2 linked regions of the Tamandua tetradactyla genome follow. The main gene of each other region encodes a partner of the protein of the gene in region 2 in a complex. Links are inferred from orthologs where the notes say so. Each region holds a gene or a part of one and is shown on either strand. Other genes may lie near its edges.

The links.
Region 1: LRP5 (region 2) and FZD8 share a complex: the UniProt entries of both Homo sapiens proteins name them as parts of the wnt-signaling complex. The link is inferred for Tamandua tetradactyla from reciprocal best matches to the Homo sapiens genes LRP5 and FZD8.

Annotation. Positions count from the first base shown.
Region 1 is NC_135327.1:215,597,217-215,604,956, reverse strand, and holds the start of FZD8 (frizzled-8), read right to left. Parts: upstream 3,040-7,740; 5' UTR 2,027-3,039; coding exon 1-2,026. UniProt on the Homo sapiens protein: Receptor for Wnt proteins. Component of the Wnt-Fzd-LRP5-LRP6 complex that triggers beta-catenin signaling through inducing aggregation of receptor-ligand complexes into ribosome-sized signalosomes.
Region 2 is NC_135335.1:6,236,103-6,244,197, forward strand, and holds the start of LRP5 (low-density lipoprotein receptor-related protein 5), read right to left. Parts: upstream 3,088-8,095; 5' UTR 3,042-3,087; coding exon 2,972-3,041; intron 1-2,971. UniProt on the Homo sapiens protein: Acts as a coreceptor with members of the frizzled family of seven-transmembrane spanning receptors to transduce signal by Wnt proteins.

The DNA of each region.
Region 1 (7,740 bases), on a different chromosome or scaffold from region 2:
ACACGGAGCTGGCAGTGCCAGACCTCCACGTCAGGCCGGTGCTGACGTCGCTGTAGAGGGAACCCCCGCCCCCGCCGGGCCCCGCGCCGCCACCCCCAGCCCCGCCGGCTCCCCCCACGGTCGCGGAGCCCGAGCCCCCGCCCGCCGCGGCGCCCTTGCTGGCCCAGCAGCAGCGTGTGCACAGGGCGCGCCAGGACTCGAGCGTCTTGCCGGACCAGACCCACACGCCCGAGGTGATGCCCACCACCAGGCACATGAAGTACTTGAGCATGAAGACGGCGTAGTCGGGCCGGCGGGCCTGGTCGGGCTGCAGGTCCCGCAGGCAGGGGCAGTTGTGCGTGGCCTCCCAGCGCGGGCGGTTGTGCTGCTCGTAGAAGAGGCAGGCGACCACGACGGCGGCGGGCACGGTGTAGAGCACGGTGAAGAGGCCCAGGCGGATCATGAGCTTCTCCAGCTTGTGCGTCTTGGTGGGGCCGCCCTGCTGCTTGATGACCGAGCGGATGCGGAAGAGCGACACGAAGCCCGCCAGCAGGAACATGGTGCCGATGAAGAGGTAGATGACCAGGGGCGCCAGCACGAAGCCGCGCAGGTTGTCGAGGCTCTGGTTGCCCACGTAGCAGATGCCCGCCACAGGGTCGCCGTCCACCGAGCTGAGCGCCAGCACGGCGATGGACTTGACGCTGGGCACGAGCCACGCGGCCAGGTGGAAGTACTGCGAGTAGCCGGCGATGGCCTCGTTGCCCCACTTCATGCCGGCCGCCAGGAACCACGTGAGCGACAGGATCACCCACCAGATGGAGCTGGCCATGCCGAAGAAGTAGACCAGCAGGAAGACCACGGTGCACAGCGCCGGGCCGGTGGTCTCGTAGCGCACGTGCTGCTCCACGGCGCCCAGCTCCTCGTACTCGCTGCGCCCTCCCGGGCCGCCCGCGCCCGCGCCCGCCGCCCCGGCGCCCGCCGCCGCACTGCCCGCGGCCCCCGCCGCCCCCGGCCCGGGCGCGCCGCCGCTGCACGCCACCTTCTCGTGGCCCGCCACCAGGCGCACCAGGTAGCCGACCGACACGAAGAGGTAGCAGGCCGAGAGAAAGATGATGGGCCGCTCGGGGTACTTGAAGCGCTCCATGTCGATGAGGAAGGTGGAGACGGTGGCGAAAGTGGAGACGAAGCAGAGCACCGACCACAGGCCGATCCAGAAGACGGTGAAGGCGCGCTCGTCCTGGCTGAAGAAGGGGTTGTGGCAGGGCAGCGCGCAGTTGGCGATCTGGCCCGTCTTGACGCGGTTGTACAGCGGGTGCCGCTCGCTGGCCACGCTCACCATGGGCGCGCGGCACTGGCAGCCCGGCTCGCAGGGCGCCGCGCCGCCGCCAGAGGGCCGCGCCTTCCCGCCGCCGCGCGCTGGGGGCGCCGCCGTGTCCCCGCCGCCGCTCTTGCCGCCGCCGCGGTGCGGGGGCCTGGCCCCTGGAGGGCGGCTGTGGCCGCTGCCCGAAGGCGGCTGCTCGCCGGGCAGCGGCGGGGGCGGCGGCGGGTGGCGGCGCGGCGGGCTGGGCGCGGCCGTGGTGAGGTCGGTGCGGTTGTAGTCCATGCACAGTGTGTCCGGGTTGCCCTGCTCCGGCAGCCGGTCGCAGCGCATGCGGTCGGGCCAGGCGAAGCCGTACTGGCGCATGAGAGGCGCGCAGCCGGCCTTGGCGCGCTCGCACACCGAGCGGCAGGGCGGCAGCGGCTTCTTGTAGTCTTCCAGGCAGATGGGCGTGTACATGCTGCACAGGAAGAACTTGAGGTCGGGCGAGCACTGGATCTCCACCAGCGGCCAGAACTGGTGCACCTCCAGGCCCGCTTCGTCCTGCGTGTCGTGGTTGAACTGGTTGGGCATGTAGGTGTAGTTGTAGCCGATGCCCTTGCACAGGGGCACGGTTATCTCCTGGCACGCCAGCTCCTTGGCCGAGGCAGCCGCCGCGCCGCTCGAGCGCTGCAGCAGCGCGAAGGCGGCCAGCAGCGAGGTCACTTCCAACAGGTAACTCCACTCCATGCTGGGAGCCTCAGCCCCGTGCGCCACCGCACCCTCGGCCTTCCACGCGGCGCGCGTCCCGGGACCCCGGCCTGGAAGCGCGAGGAGGAGGCGCCGGAGAGCCCGGAGCCCAGAAAAGGGCGAGGAAGGGGCCGAGGTGTCCGCGGCCGCTGGGTTTTGTGGCCTCGTCCCTGCCTCTCCTGGGAAGGGAGCAGCCCGAAACCGGAGCCCCTTCTCCCGGAAGGCTTGGCAGGAATCAGTCCAGGCCTCCCTTCCGCTGCCCGGCGGGTCTCTCCGGGGAGCCGGTGACCTAGCGCCGCGCCGCGCTCCCCCTCCTCGGCTCGCGCAGCGGTCCGGAGGAAACGAGGGGGTGAGCTGCGGGTGAGCGCGACAGTCCCCTCGGGTCTTCCCCCTGCTGATTTGGGTCGGGCTTCAGCTCGCGTGGAGACTTGCTGGCTCCAGGCTCATCTTCCTGCGCTGGCTCTGTCCCTCTCCCTCCGCGCCGCCGCCACTTTTCCGCCACGGCTCCCGGGCTGCCGGCGACTTTGCAGAGCACGGAAGGTGGCGGGGCAGCAAGTTTCCTCTCCGGCCCCCGCGACGCGGAGTCAAGATGGCTGAGCCAGGCCAACTCCCCGCGCCCGGGGTCAGCCGCTCCAGCCCCCTCTCCTCCCCAGGGGGCACATGCCCGCTCTTCAGCCGCGTCCCGCCGGTCCTCGAGGTCCGCCGGGGCCTCCGCGTCCGCCCGGACAGCTGCCTTCTTCTCCCCGGCGTCCGTCAGTCTGTCCGCACGCCGGGACAGACGAATCCCCGCCTCCGGGTAAAAGTCCGCGCCGCACTACAGCCAGGAATCGGGCGAGTTGCAGGCAGTCCCCTTCTCGCCAGGAAAACCAAAACCCAAATCCAGACAAGAAGGCGAAGCGAAGACACCTGAACTGAGCAGTCCTGCGCCCGAGCCGCCGCCACCACAGCCGCCGCCGCCGCCACCGCCACCTCCTCGGCGGGAGCAGTGCCCTTTGCCCAACTTCCCAGTCTCCGGCCCCCGCTCGCGCCGAGCTGCCGGGCTCATGAATATTTATACAGCGCGAACTCGGTCCCCGCCCCCGGCTCCGCCAGCCAATCGTCGGGCGGTGGGGGCGGGGTCTACGAGCTCCCAAGGCTAAACCTTCCTTAAGGCCGTCTGGACTGTCTGGCCTGAAATGTGCGCTTTCTGGCGACGGAGACTTGGTTTTGATAACCTTGGGATTGACCGGAGAAGCGGACATTCAGAGCGGCCTCCCTGGGGGCCCGCGCCCCGCCCTGGCTGGCCTTGGCTCCGAGTTGTCACGATCGCCCCACACGGTGCTCGGTGTGTCTGAGCTTTTGGTCCCTTTTCCCCGATTCTGCACTTTGGAGACTAGGAGGTGATTTGATGCAGCGCGCGCCTCCCCGGGCCAGTTTCAAACTAGTCAATCCTGTCCCCCTCGGTCCTGCCCTAAGTGTGGGGTGACATGTCGGGGGCCAGGGTTCCTACCTCCTCCGAGCCAGGGTTGGCGAGAAGCCGCGCTGCGGGTGGTGCCCGGAGGCTTCGGGGCAGCGGGGTGCGCCCTGGGGACTGCGCCTTTGAGGATCTGGAAAGGGAAGCCCATTGGGGGTGTGTGTGTCAGAAATTGGTCTTTGGAGCCGGGGGCTAAGGGGGGAGTTGAGCAACCGCAGTCCGTTCTGCCTGGTGGAGCTGGACGGAGGAGGTGACCAGCACCCCAACCGCGAGGGGCGGCCCACAGCGCGGGACACAGGGTCTGCCTCCGGGGTGCGCAAAACCCTGGGGAAGGCATTAACATTTCAGAACCTCAGTCTCGTTTCCTGTAAAATGGGGGTAACCATAGGACTGCTCCCAGAGGAGATTCCGATAATCACATGATGTCGATAAAACACATAAAGCGTCCAGGTTATGTTTTGTTCTTATGAAAAATAATTCCTTTTCTTCCTAAAAAGAAAACAAAAAGAAAACGTGTAAATAGGTCGGGCTATTAAACTCTGCCACTGGGTTCTTTCCTTCGGTCTCCTACTTTGGGAACGTACATGCGCCCAATCCAAAGTTCGTCGTTTTTGCCCAAGCCTCCTTTTCTGCCGCCCCAGGCAACTCAAGGCGCTTCCGAGGCGGGGCTGCGCCGAGACGCGAACCCGCGGACACGTATCCGCGATTGTCACCGAGCCGGGAGCGCGACAGAGCAGCTTTTAGTTGCCACTAACGCCGCCTCCAATTAGCGCTGCCCCAGCCAACTCCGCCAACCACCTTAAGATGGGTTGCGGGGGGAGTGCGGGGTGCGGAGGGGCGGGCGGCCTGGCAGGTTCATTTACGCTTGTTAGGACGTCCCAGGGGGTTGTCTTTCTCCTAGAATGGAGTGTTTATTTTTAATTGATGTGCTGTTTCATTTAGCGCTTGTATGGAACTCACGCTGGGGTTGTAATTACTGTAATCTCGGGAACAAGCATTTCGGTTAGCCAGGAGGGTGGCAAAATACCTTCTCTCTCGGTCTCTCTGTTTCTCTCTCTTTCTGTTTCTAAATTTTTGCTATTTGTCAGATTTCATACCAGGAGCTAGTCGGGCTAGAGGACACGAGTTCTGGAGGGTGGAGGGACCGAGAATTATTAAAGGTGTGTTTGAGGCCAGTTCAGGTTTTGTGGAGGGGGTTTGGTGGTGCTTAGCCGTTTACCTGTTTAAAACAAACTCTTGTCACAAACAAACAAAAATAACTGGCAACATTTGTGTGCTGCTTAAACTAATGGAATCTCGGTTTCCTCCTGTTTTCTCTGGCTTGGTTTTCCCACCTAATTATGCACCTCATTTTAAGTAGACAGGCAACGCCCCCCCTCTTTTTTTTTTGGCAAGTTCTGTGTTTTTCGCCAAGAATTCTAGGCATATCCATCCACCAGACGATCAGAATATAGCTATACCTCAACATCTTCATTTTATTATTAATTGAACCTCTTATACTAAAAAACACTTCCTTCCCACTTTTGTTTTGGACAAACTCAACTCCTTAGGAATCAGAATTCAAACGCTTGTGAAATTTTAGCTGATTCAGTAGAAGAAAATGGATTCATGCAAACGCGCGACCTTTTTTTTCCCGCCCCCCCCCCGCCCCGCCCCAACTGTATTCCCATTTGTGGCATGAGGAATTTAGATAGTCACCTATCTTTTGTGTGGGTACCTTGTTCAAAGAGGCCAGTCTCGGGAACATTCGGCTACCGGGTAACAAGTTATTCCCGGAGTTAGATTTCTGAGTTGAGCTAAAGAAGTGAGGGCAAAGCATCCTTTCAAACACCAGCCTGGGGCGGGCAATGGTGGCTCAGTGGCAGCATTCTCGCCTGCCATGCTGGAGACGCGGGTTCGTGTTCCTGGAGCCTGCCCATGCCAAAAAAAAAAAAAAAAAAAAAAAAAAAAAAACCAGCCTGGACGCTGCACTGCCCAGACTACAGATGGGAGGTGCTAGTTTCCAAAAACAGCACAGATGTTGAAAAGTTTCTACTGCTTTTCTTACGCCTGGAAATGTAGAATACTGAAGTTTAGAATTACACCCTATAAACGTACTAAAATTAGATAAAAACAAATGTCGACAGTTGAAAATAGTTGACTTTGGCTGTTAATTGGCATTTAAAATTTTCTTGCTTTTTAATTTTGAGACAAGATGAAACCTTTGATGATGTGGAATGGGAAAATATTTGGTAAGTAAATTAAGCCTGCAGGAAAACATTAATGGAAAAAAGTTCTGCACTTTCAAAAATCATGCTATAAGCTATTTGGGGGATCTTACTGATTTGTGAGATTAAATCTATTTACATATAAATCATGAAAATTTACTTTTAATTCAGAAAATATAAAAATAGCATTCTAAATTTGCTATTAAATAACCACTTGGCCATCATTCAGAGCAGGACAGAGAGACTTATGAAGCCAATTAGTGTATAAAAGGCAATTATAGGCAAGTTAAAAGGAGCCTGAATAATTTATTAAGATTGGGGGCTAAATAATGATATTTTTCTTTTGTATGTAAAGCAGCTGTTTTTTAGGGGAGGGGAAATAGCTTTAATAGACATAAATAATGTAAGATGGTTCCTAGAGGGATTTCTGAACAGATGTCTTGCTACTAAGTAGCCTACAAACATAATAATATAAACAGTTGAAAGCAAGAATCTACTTTGGAGGAGGGTAATGTATTATAAAACACTGGACCAAATATGATAGGAGGCCATTAATACTGTACATCTCAAGTTGAAGAAATTCATTTTTAGTGAATTCTAGTTTAAAAACCCAATATAAAAATCTCTGTAAAAGAGAGGGCCTATCATATACCAATAAAATAATATGTTACAAAAATTAAATGGAGAGTTCTTTAGTAACTAATGAAATTCCTCAAATGTTATAAAAAATAACTAATCATTTCTCATAAAAGCTTTTTTTTCTTTCAGGGAAACACTCAAGCATTATTTTTTTATTAGAGAATGTCAAATTCTATCAGACAATATTGGGATATCATGGCTTTTTAAATGCATCTTTGGAAGGATTGAGTCTTGATTGACCACCCTATAGGTGGAAGGGAAGTTAGAGTCTTGCTTCAATATCTAGAATTAAAATGGGAATCAGAGTTCTCATTTTACATGCAGTTACCAAAATGGTAACTGCACTGGCTGTCATTATTTCACTTTCTAATTATCCTAAAATATGTTTTCAAAATCAGGAATAGATTAAAAAAAATATTCACACTGGATTATTGACCAGATGCTGAAACTCGTGTGACAAAGGATGTATTGTGCATTAGTATGGGAGCTTTCAGGTGCAAGGACACTTAATTAATCTCATATGACTAAAAAAAAATCTGCAGTAGGAAGGGCCACGAGATTCAATGAGCTCCCTGTCCGCTTTGGCTTCTGCTTCTCGGTCAGTCTCTTGTCTTTCTCCTTGGTTGCATGGCCTGAGACAGTGAATCACCACATTGCATGGGACAGCAACTAAGAGAGGAAGAGTGTGGGACCTCCCTGGAGGCTGCTATCCTCCCGCTAGATGGGAAAACTTTCCCAGAAGGCCCTGGGCTGACTTCCCCTAATGCCTGGTTGGGCTGCACCTGCCACGTGGCCAGCCTGGGCCGCAGGGGGGCTGTGAAGGCCCGTACCCTCCTACCTGGTGGGCGGCTGGTGACAGACAAAGAAGCCTTCCAGTGTGCTTTGTCCAAGGTTATAAATTAAGTATGACCTACATTAAACACACACTCACACAGCAACCCCCAAACCTCCTGATATCTACACTGTCCCCTTTGATTCACAGAACACAGTTCTTGGTACAGTTAATGTGCAATAAATGTCAAGCAGTTTAGTGCTTGTTTTATTTATAATATGTATGGATTGTTTTAGTCTGGGTTCTCTAGAGAAACAGAACCAATGGGAGATACCGGTAAATATGAGATTTATAAAAGTATCTCACACAAACTGTGGGGATGCAAGAGTCCAAAATCCATAGGGCAGGCTGCAAGGCTGGCAAGTCTGATGAAGTTTCTCGACAAACTCCACAGGAGAGTGGAGAAGTGGTTGGCTGAAGAAGAAGTGAAAATTCTGTCTTCTCCCTTGAACTGTCTTCGACTGATGGAATTAAATCCGACTGACTGGATTTCCTCCTTGCAGAAGACACACCGTTAGTTGATCGTAGCTGTAATCAGCTGGCTGAAGATTTAATAAACCAGCCTTCTGGCTTATTGACCAGC
Region 2 (8,095 bases):
GTGGTAGGAAGTAGTATTATCCCCATTTTGCAGAAAAGAATACTGAGGCACAAAAAGGCAGAGCCGGCTGTCTGAGCTCCCCCACCCGGCAAATGGCAGAGCTGGGAGCATAGCCTGGTGCTTGGCCCGTTCAGATAACTACCCGGTGACATGTGGCCCAGTGCCACGGTGGGCCGCGACGGCCTGGTAACGGTTATGGAACAAACGAATCAGTCAGCAGTCAGGATAACCAAGGTCATGAAGAAAACTCCAGATTATGCAATAACAGCCTCCCAGTCTTTCAAGCCAGAAAGATCAAGGACCCCTGCTACACCCCCAGTTCTTCACCCAGGCTTGGGGTGGTGCTAAGGGAGCCCAACATTTAATGCTTCCTGAGAGAGAAGAGGGTCCAAGAAAGCACCAAGACACGAAGATGCTAAGGAGTGCACCCAAGCCAAAGGGTCACACGGCAGCACACCTGGCAGGTAAACCCAGGTTGGTCTGACCCCAAAATCCTCACAGCCCTGGTTAGAGCCCACCCAGCCAGCCCTCCACCTCTGGCTCCAGTGTGTGCACCCTGCTGGGTGCCCGGGCAGTGAGCCAGTGCGGCTGAAATTAAATCAGTTCCCCAAATGATGGGGGACCTCAGAAGGAAGCACTCACGAATGCTGAGTAGGCTGGGTCATCCCTTGGATTTGGGAATGGGAGGGTTAGGGCCTATGGGTCCTGCTTGAAAAATTCAGAGAGGACCCACTCAGCATCTAACTGAAGTCTGCTGGGGCCTTACAGTGGGCCAGGCAATGTGCTTGACACACACACACACACACACACACACACACACACACACACACATGCACACACACATACCACCTCTGCAGACCCTCAGGGAGCATCAGACCCTTGGGGAGTATCAGACCATCAGGGAGCATCTGCACCTGCAGGAACCAGCCTGCAGGAACCTGCAGATTCTAGAAGGCCTGCTGCAAGGCTGGCCAGAGGCCTGGGGCAACTCAGCTGGGGACCCTAGCACAAAGGTATTTCCGTGGCCTCAAGCTTCAAATTGCAACAGGAAGCAATCAGGAAAAATAATTAACTACTGATCTACTGGCTTCACCCCAGATGGAGCCATATAGCTAATGTGGAAAATCAGGGACATGACATATCAAGGACAGACAAGAAAGTTCTACATAAGGATTTCACCTCTTTCTTCTTTTTTTTTCCCCCTTTCACTTTAGGACGGGACCATCACATTCTGGGACTCTAAATGCCTCTTACGAACATGCTTCCTAGTACTAAAATAACCCACCCTCTTTGTGCAGCAGACACAACTAAACACCACAGGTGGAGCTCCTTTTCTTTAGGGGTTCGAGTCATACGGAGCAACAGGCATTCGTGTCCAGTAAGGTCACCCCGAAAGGAACAGGAAATCCAAAACTGCAATGAAGTGAAGAGCACCCGAGGCAGCTTTAAAAAAAAAAAAAAACCCTTTAAAACAAACGTCTTCCCCCCAAACCCCTTTTGCCTTCACAATCCAGGCATTTCCGGGAAAAAAGGCTCAGCTTCGGCCTGCATTATCCAGATTCTGTCATTGTTTTGTCTTCACCTTGTTTTGCAAGGAGTAGAAGACATGGCTGAAAAATGTAAACTGGCTCCGTTCCAGAGAGAGATAAACTTGGGGTGAAAGCGCTGATAAGCCAGGAGAACCTGCAGCGGGGATCCCTGAGCTTTCTCCCTTACTACTGGGTGCTTTTCAAACCTCAACGGAGGGGCTGCAGCGTCAGGAATCCAACCCACAAAGCCAGCCAGGAAACCTCCCTGCAAATGTCCACTCTGGAAATATTCAGGAGACAGCTGTTTGCTTTAAGGAAGCCCAGACAAAAGGGACCTGGGCCCCATCCCCCCCCCACCCCGAAACTGCCACCAAAAGAGGGGCCCTGGATGCTCGCAGTGCTGGCTGGCCCATGCCCAGTCTGGCAAGCCTCAATCAAGAAAACCAAAACACGTACCTCTGAAGAGAAGGACAGAGGTAGCAGGGGACCTGCTAGGAGCACCACATGGCAATCTCCAAACTCAAAAAACATGTGCGGCACCTCACAGGGTGCCTTGGTTCCCTGAGTCCTCCTCACCTCAACTCCACCCCTCCGGCCGCACCAAAAAGTTGGAGAGAAAGTTCGACAGCCCTCGACTGCCCAAAGGCTGTGGAAACTGAGTCACAGGCACACTTCCTCCCCCCCCAACACGCCCCAACAAAGCCATGCGCTGGGACCACGACACCGGTCACGACGGGTCCCCCGCTGCGGCCCAGGCCCCTGTCTGCAGCCCCAGCGGCCGGATGGGTGGCTCGGGTGGCCGGGACACCTGGCAGGTGTCAGTCTTTGGGGAACGACAGCCAGGCAGATACAAAGGGGACAGAGCAACAGGACAGGACGCGCCGCGCCCGGTCTCCCAACTTTCTCGCGGCTCCCGGAGCTCGCAGGGCGGCCGCGCGGCCAGGGGAGGCAGGCTCGCAGGGAGAGTCCCGACCCAGGGCGGCCAGGCCTGTCCCTGGGCCGAAAGGCTCCGCTCTGCCCTGCGGGCCCCGGCTCCGCCACCGGCCAAGGGCGGCCGCGGCCACTGCCCGGCCCCGTCCCCGGGAGCCCTGCCGAGCGCGCCCCGGGGCCCGCGCCCCGCGTCGGGGCAGGTGAGGACCCGCCCGCGCGCACCTGGCGGGGTCGGCGCCGCCCGCGCGCCCGGCTCGTGGGCCCCGGGTCGGCCCCGGGAAGGGCCCGGGCGGGGAGACAAAGGGCCCGCGCGCGGCCCCCGGGCGGCGGGGAGCGGCGGGGAGCGACGGGGAGCCCCCGCGCCGCGCGCCCCAACTCGTCCCCAACTTGCAAAGTCGCTTCCGCGGCGGCGCCGCGCACTTGGCCGCGAGGCCGCCCGGAACCCCCGGGGGGGGGTGGCACGGACCCGGGTCCCGCGCCGCCCGCCCCCGCCCCCGCCGGCGCCCACCTACCCGCGGCGGGAGCCAGGCTGCAGCAGAGCGCGAGCAGCAGCAGCAGCAGCCGGGGCGCCGCCGCCTCCATGTTGTCCGGCGGCCGGACGGGCCCGCGCCGCGCTCACTCGGGCTCCATGGCGCGGCGGCGGCGGCGGCGGCGGCTCCTCGCGCGGCTCCCGGCGCCTCCCGCCTCCCCCCCTCGGGCGCCGCCGACCAGGACGAGGAGGAGGGGGGAGAGGAGGGGGGAGGGCGCGCGGGAGCGGAAGCCGCGCCGCGTCTCCGCCCCCCGCCGCCCGCCCCCCCCCTCCGCGCGCCCCCCGCGCCGGCCGCGCCCTCCCGCGGGCGCCCCCCGGAGCCGGCAGGCTGGCGGCGAGACGGGCGCTGCGGCCCCCGCCCTGTGGCCCCGATTCTCGTGGTGGGGGGGAGGGGAGGTGTAGCGGGGAGGGGGGAGCGGAGGCCCTAACTGCCAAATGCAGCCCCTGCCCGGGGCTGGGGTCCCGTGCTGGTTTTCACTCCACGGGGGCGGGCAGGCTGATCAAGTTCTGGAAACAGGTGTGCCACCTGTGGAGCTACAAGGACTCCCCCGCCTTTTACAGATGGGGAAACTGAGGCACGGGGGCTGGGAGATTGCCCAAGGGCACACAGCAAGGCAGTGACAGGACTGGATGCCAGGGAGCCGCAGCCGCCCCCTGCAGGGGCCCATCGCAGCCCAGGCCTCCCTTGACACCTGTTCTCACTTCTGAGGGCGCCTGGGAGGGCAGAGAATGGCGACCAGGAGTTGTGAGGGCAGGGACAGATGTGCAGTATAGAGAAGCATGAGCTGTAAGGGTGGGACTGAGGGTGGGCTTGAGGTTTTAGTTTTACGCTAATTTTGTGCTCGCTGCATTCATTCTGGCATACGAACTGACAATAAAGCTGCTCTCCAGGGGATACTACGCTGGCCAAGCCTGCAAGTCCTGATATCTCAGACCTCAGGAGTTCCCTCACCTCTGACTCACCCAAAAGCGGTCACTGAGGTCCCACAGTGCACCCCATGGAATTAAGCTGCGCCCGGGAGGAGGAGCTGGGAAGGGAGAACCTTGCTGGGGAGAGAGGGGAAGGGGGACAGAGAGGCTCTGGAACCCATTGGTCCCAGTTCAAACTCCGGGTCTGCTGTTGAGCTCCTGGGCAAGTGCAAACTCTCCAGGCCTCTTTCCCCTTCATAAAATGGTGATAACACCCCCTTGCACAGCCCGGAGGAGGTTAGGGATAATACAGTATCATGGCCTCATGTGTTTGTGACAACTTTGTAAGGTTAGTGGTCAGGCAGAATACCTTGGCCCTCCTTGGGTTTATATCCTAGTGAGAGAGCTAAGCAAACCAAACAAATAAATAAAAATTTTAAAAAACCACCATTACAGACCAATGTGAAAGTGGGGAGTGTTGGACATGTCTGGGGGGAATACTGAGGGAAGTGGGGAAGGTTCTATTCTCCAAGGAGGCTATATTTGAGCCAACTGTAGGAGCAGCTGCTCTGCAGGGAGAGTAGTTCAGGCAGAGAAAAGGAAACAAGGGCCTGGGAGCAGGGGCCAGCTTGGCTGCTGGATTTTTGGGTGGAACTGCAAAAGGCCAGCATGATAGAGGCTAGAGGTGGGTGTGGGAGGAGGGCAGACAGAAGGAGGTGTGAGATGGAAGGAGATTTGGGGTGACAGGAGGCAAATGGGATAGTAGGAGAGGCCAACTACAGCCAACACATATCAGACTGGGAAAAGGAGTCAAGAACTTATCTGAAGAGTGATGGGAAACCATTATGGGGATTTAAGGAGCAAAAATCCTTGCTGATTCCTCTACTCTCTCTTACTCGATGCCCAGGCCTAGCAGCACACCCTGTCTACTCGTCTCCCACCTCTGTGGCCACCAGCCTGGGCCCTCACCTCTCATCCTCTGCCAGGTCTCCTGTATCTGGCCTTAACTCCCTTCTGCCTAATCTCACAGCAGCCAGAGTGAACCTATTAAAACATTAAATCAGATCACATCTTCCTCTGCTGAAGATCCTGCTGTGCTTTTCATCCTAGGCCAGTGTTTTTAAACCTTCAATCGTTAATGTATTACTATCATGATTTGGGTAGTTATTTCTTTTTAAAAATCAGTTCACTTTTAAACACATCAGTGCCTACTTCAGCATGATTTTAAGCAAGAACCCCCTTGGGGGTGTACCTCTACCTGGCATCATGGGACATGACTCCCAGGATTAAGCCTGGCCCTGGTATCGTGGGACTGACAAAACTGCCATGACCAAAAGGGGGAAAAGAGATGGGACAAATAAAATCTTCAGTGACTAAGAGATTTCAAAGGACATTGAGAGGTCAGTCTGGAGGTTATTCTTATGCATTATATAGAAATTCCTTTTTAGTTTCTGGTGTGTTAGAATGACTAAAAGGAAATAACAAACTGTTGAACTGTAATCCAGTAGCCTTGATTCTTGATGATGATTGTATAACTATATAACATTTGTAGTGTGACCATATGATTGTAAAAAACCTTGTGACTAACGTTCTCTTTATCCAGTGTATGGGCAAGAGAGTAACAAAATAAACACAAAAAATAAACAAGTAATAGGGAATGTCCTAGTTTGCTTGCTGCTGGAATGCAATATACCAGAAATGAAATGCTTTCTAAAAGGGAAATTTAATAAGTTGCTAGTTTATAGTTCTAAGGCTGTGAAATTGTCCAAGTTAAAACAAGTCTATAGAAATGTCCAATCTAAGGCATCCTGGGAAAGATAACCTTGGTTCCAGAAGGCTGGTGAAGTTCAGGGTTTCTCTCTCTCTCAGCTGGAAGGACAAGTGGCAAACATGGTGGCGTCTGCTAGCTTTCCCTCCAGGCCTCTTGCTTCATGAAGCTCCCCGGGAGGTGTTTTCCTTCTTCATCTCCAAAGGTCACTGGCTGGTGGACTCTGGGGTTCTCTCGTCCCGTCGTGGTTCTACAGCTCTCTCCTTGTTCTCAAAGGGAACGCTCTCCAAAATGTCTCCTCTTTTATAGGATTCCAGTAAACTAATCAAGACCCATGTAGAACTGTCAGTGGTGCAAGACCCTTTGCACCACTGACGGTCTGACACACTAAACATTTTCTTATCAGGATCTCCTGTGCCTGGACCAGGAGCCAGCACATGGCCAATGCTCGATACGTGTGTGTTGAATAAATGAATGAAGTTCATTCTAGTGCTAATCAAGTTTACTACACACAATTGATTGAGTCACGTCTCCATGGAGATAACCTAATCAAGTTTCCAACCTATAGTTTTGAATCATGATTAGAAGAAACCGTTGCTCCCACAAGATGGATTGGAACTAAAACATGGCTTTTCTAGGGTACATAAATCCTTTCAAACTGGCACAGGGAGGATTGGGAATGTGGGATGTTTTGGGTGTTCTTAATTTATTTTTATTTTTAACTTTTGGAGTAGTGCGAATGTCCCAACATTGATTGTGGTGATGTATGCACAACTAAATGATGATACTGTGAGCCACTGACTGTATACTTTGGATGATTATATGGTATGTGAATATATCTCAATAAAACGGCATTTGAAAAAGAAGGGGAAAAGAAAAGATCCTGCTATGTCTCTCATCTCAGTCAAGATAGACGCTAAGGTCGCAGGGCACTTACAGAGCCTGATCTGGCAGCACCCACCCTTCTACCTCTCCAGCCTCGTTACTGAGCACCCCTTCCTTCCCTCACCCTGTCCCAGCCACAGTGGCCCACTCGCCGGCCCTCAGACACTGGCCCTTCACGGCCACCACAGGACCTTGGCTTGCTGTCCTTGCTGCCTGGAACTCTTATCCCAGATATCCACGTGACTCACTCTTCCCTGACCCCTGCTCCAATTTTCAGCTTTCCTTTCCTCCTTTGCACCACTGACAGTCTGACACACTAAATGTTTGCTTATCGGGATTTCCTGTGCCTGGACCAGGACCCAGCACATGGCCAATGCTCAATACATGTGTGTTGAATAAATGAATGAAGTGAAAAGATCTGATTTACATTTATGGAAGGACCACTCTGGCTGCTGGATGGGGGGCAGGACTGTGGGAGAGACAGGAAGGGGTAGCCAGGAGGTTGGTCAGCAGGCAGGTATAATGTTAGCAGCCAGGAAAGGCAGAGGCTTGGATGTGGGGTGGAGGTGGGGGTGTGAGGATGGCTCAAAGATGGTGAGGAGGAACTGGATGCCGGATGCCCTTAGGATAAGCTGAAGGTGTCAGCTGTGGGCATGAAGGAGAGGGGAGCTCAGGATGGCTCAGCTAGTTGTAGCATTTTACACTAGCTGGTCCAAAGAAGAGATCAAGGTTTTAAATCTGAAGGACTCCAAAGAAGCTGAAAAACCTAAACTCAGTTGCAGAAATGATTAAGAAAAAAATGAACTGTTCTAGTTTTTTAGCTGCCAGAATGCAATATACCAGAAATGGAATGGCTTTTTAAAAAAGGGAATTTAATAAGTTGCTAGTTTACATACAGTTCTAAGGCTGAGTAAATGTCCCAATTAAAACAAGTCTATAGAAATGTCCAATCAAAGGCATCCAGGGAAAGATACTTTGGTTCAAGAAGGCCAATGAAGTTCAGGGTTTCTCTTTCAAGTGAGAAGGCACATGGCGAACACAGGGTTTCTAGCCCTTCAGCTGGAAGGGTACATGGCGAGCATGATGTCATCTGCTAGCTTTCTCTCCTGGCTTCCTGTTTCACGAAGCTCCCTGGGAGGAGTTTTCCTTCTTCATCTCCAAAGGTCACTGGTTGGTGGACTCTCTGCTTCTCATGGCTATATCATTTTTCTCTGTTCTCTCTGAATCTCTTGGTCAGTAAAACCAATCAAGACCCACCTGGAATGGGTGGAGACACGTCTCCACCTAATCAGGTTTAAGACCCACTCTTGATTAAGTCACATCCTCATGGAGATAAGCTAATTAAAGTTTCCAACATACAGTATTGAATAGGGATTAGAATTTGTGCTGCCTTTACAAAATGGGATTAGGATTAAAACATGGCATTTCTAGGATACATGCATCCTTTTAAACCGCTCATGAGCCAAGAATGTAAACAAACAAAAAAAGGCTTTAGAATAAATGCGTTCTAAACTCGATCATGGGGTTGTATGCACAACTAAGTGA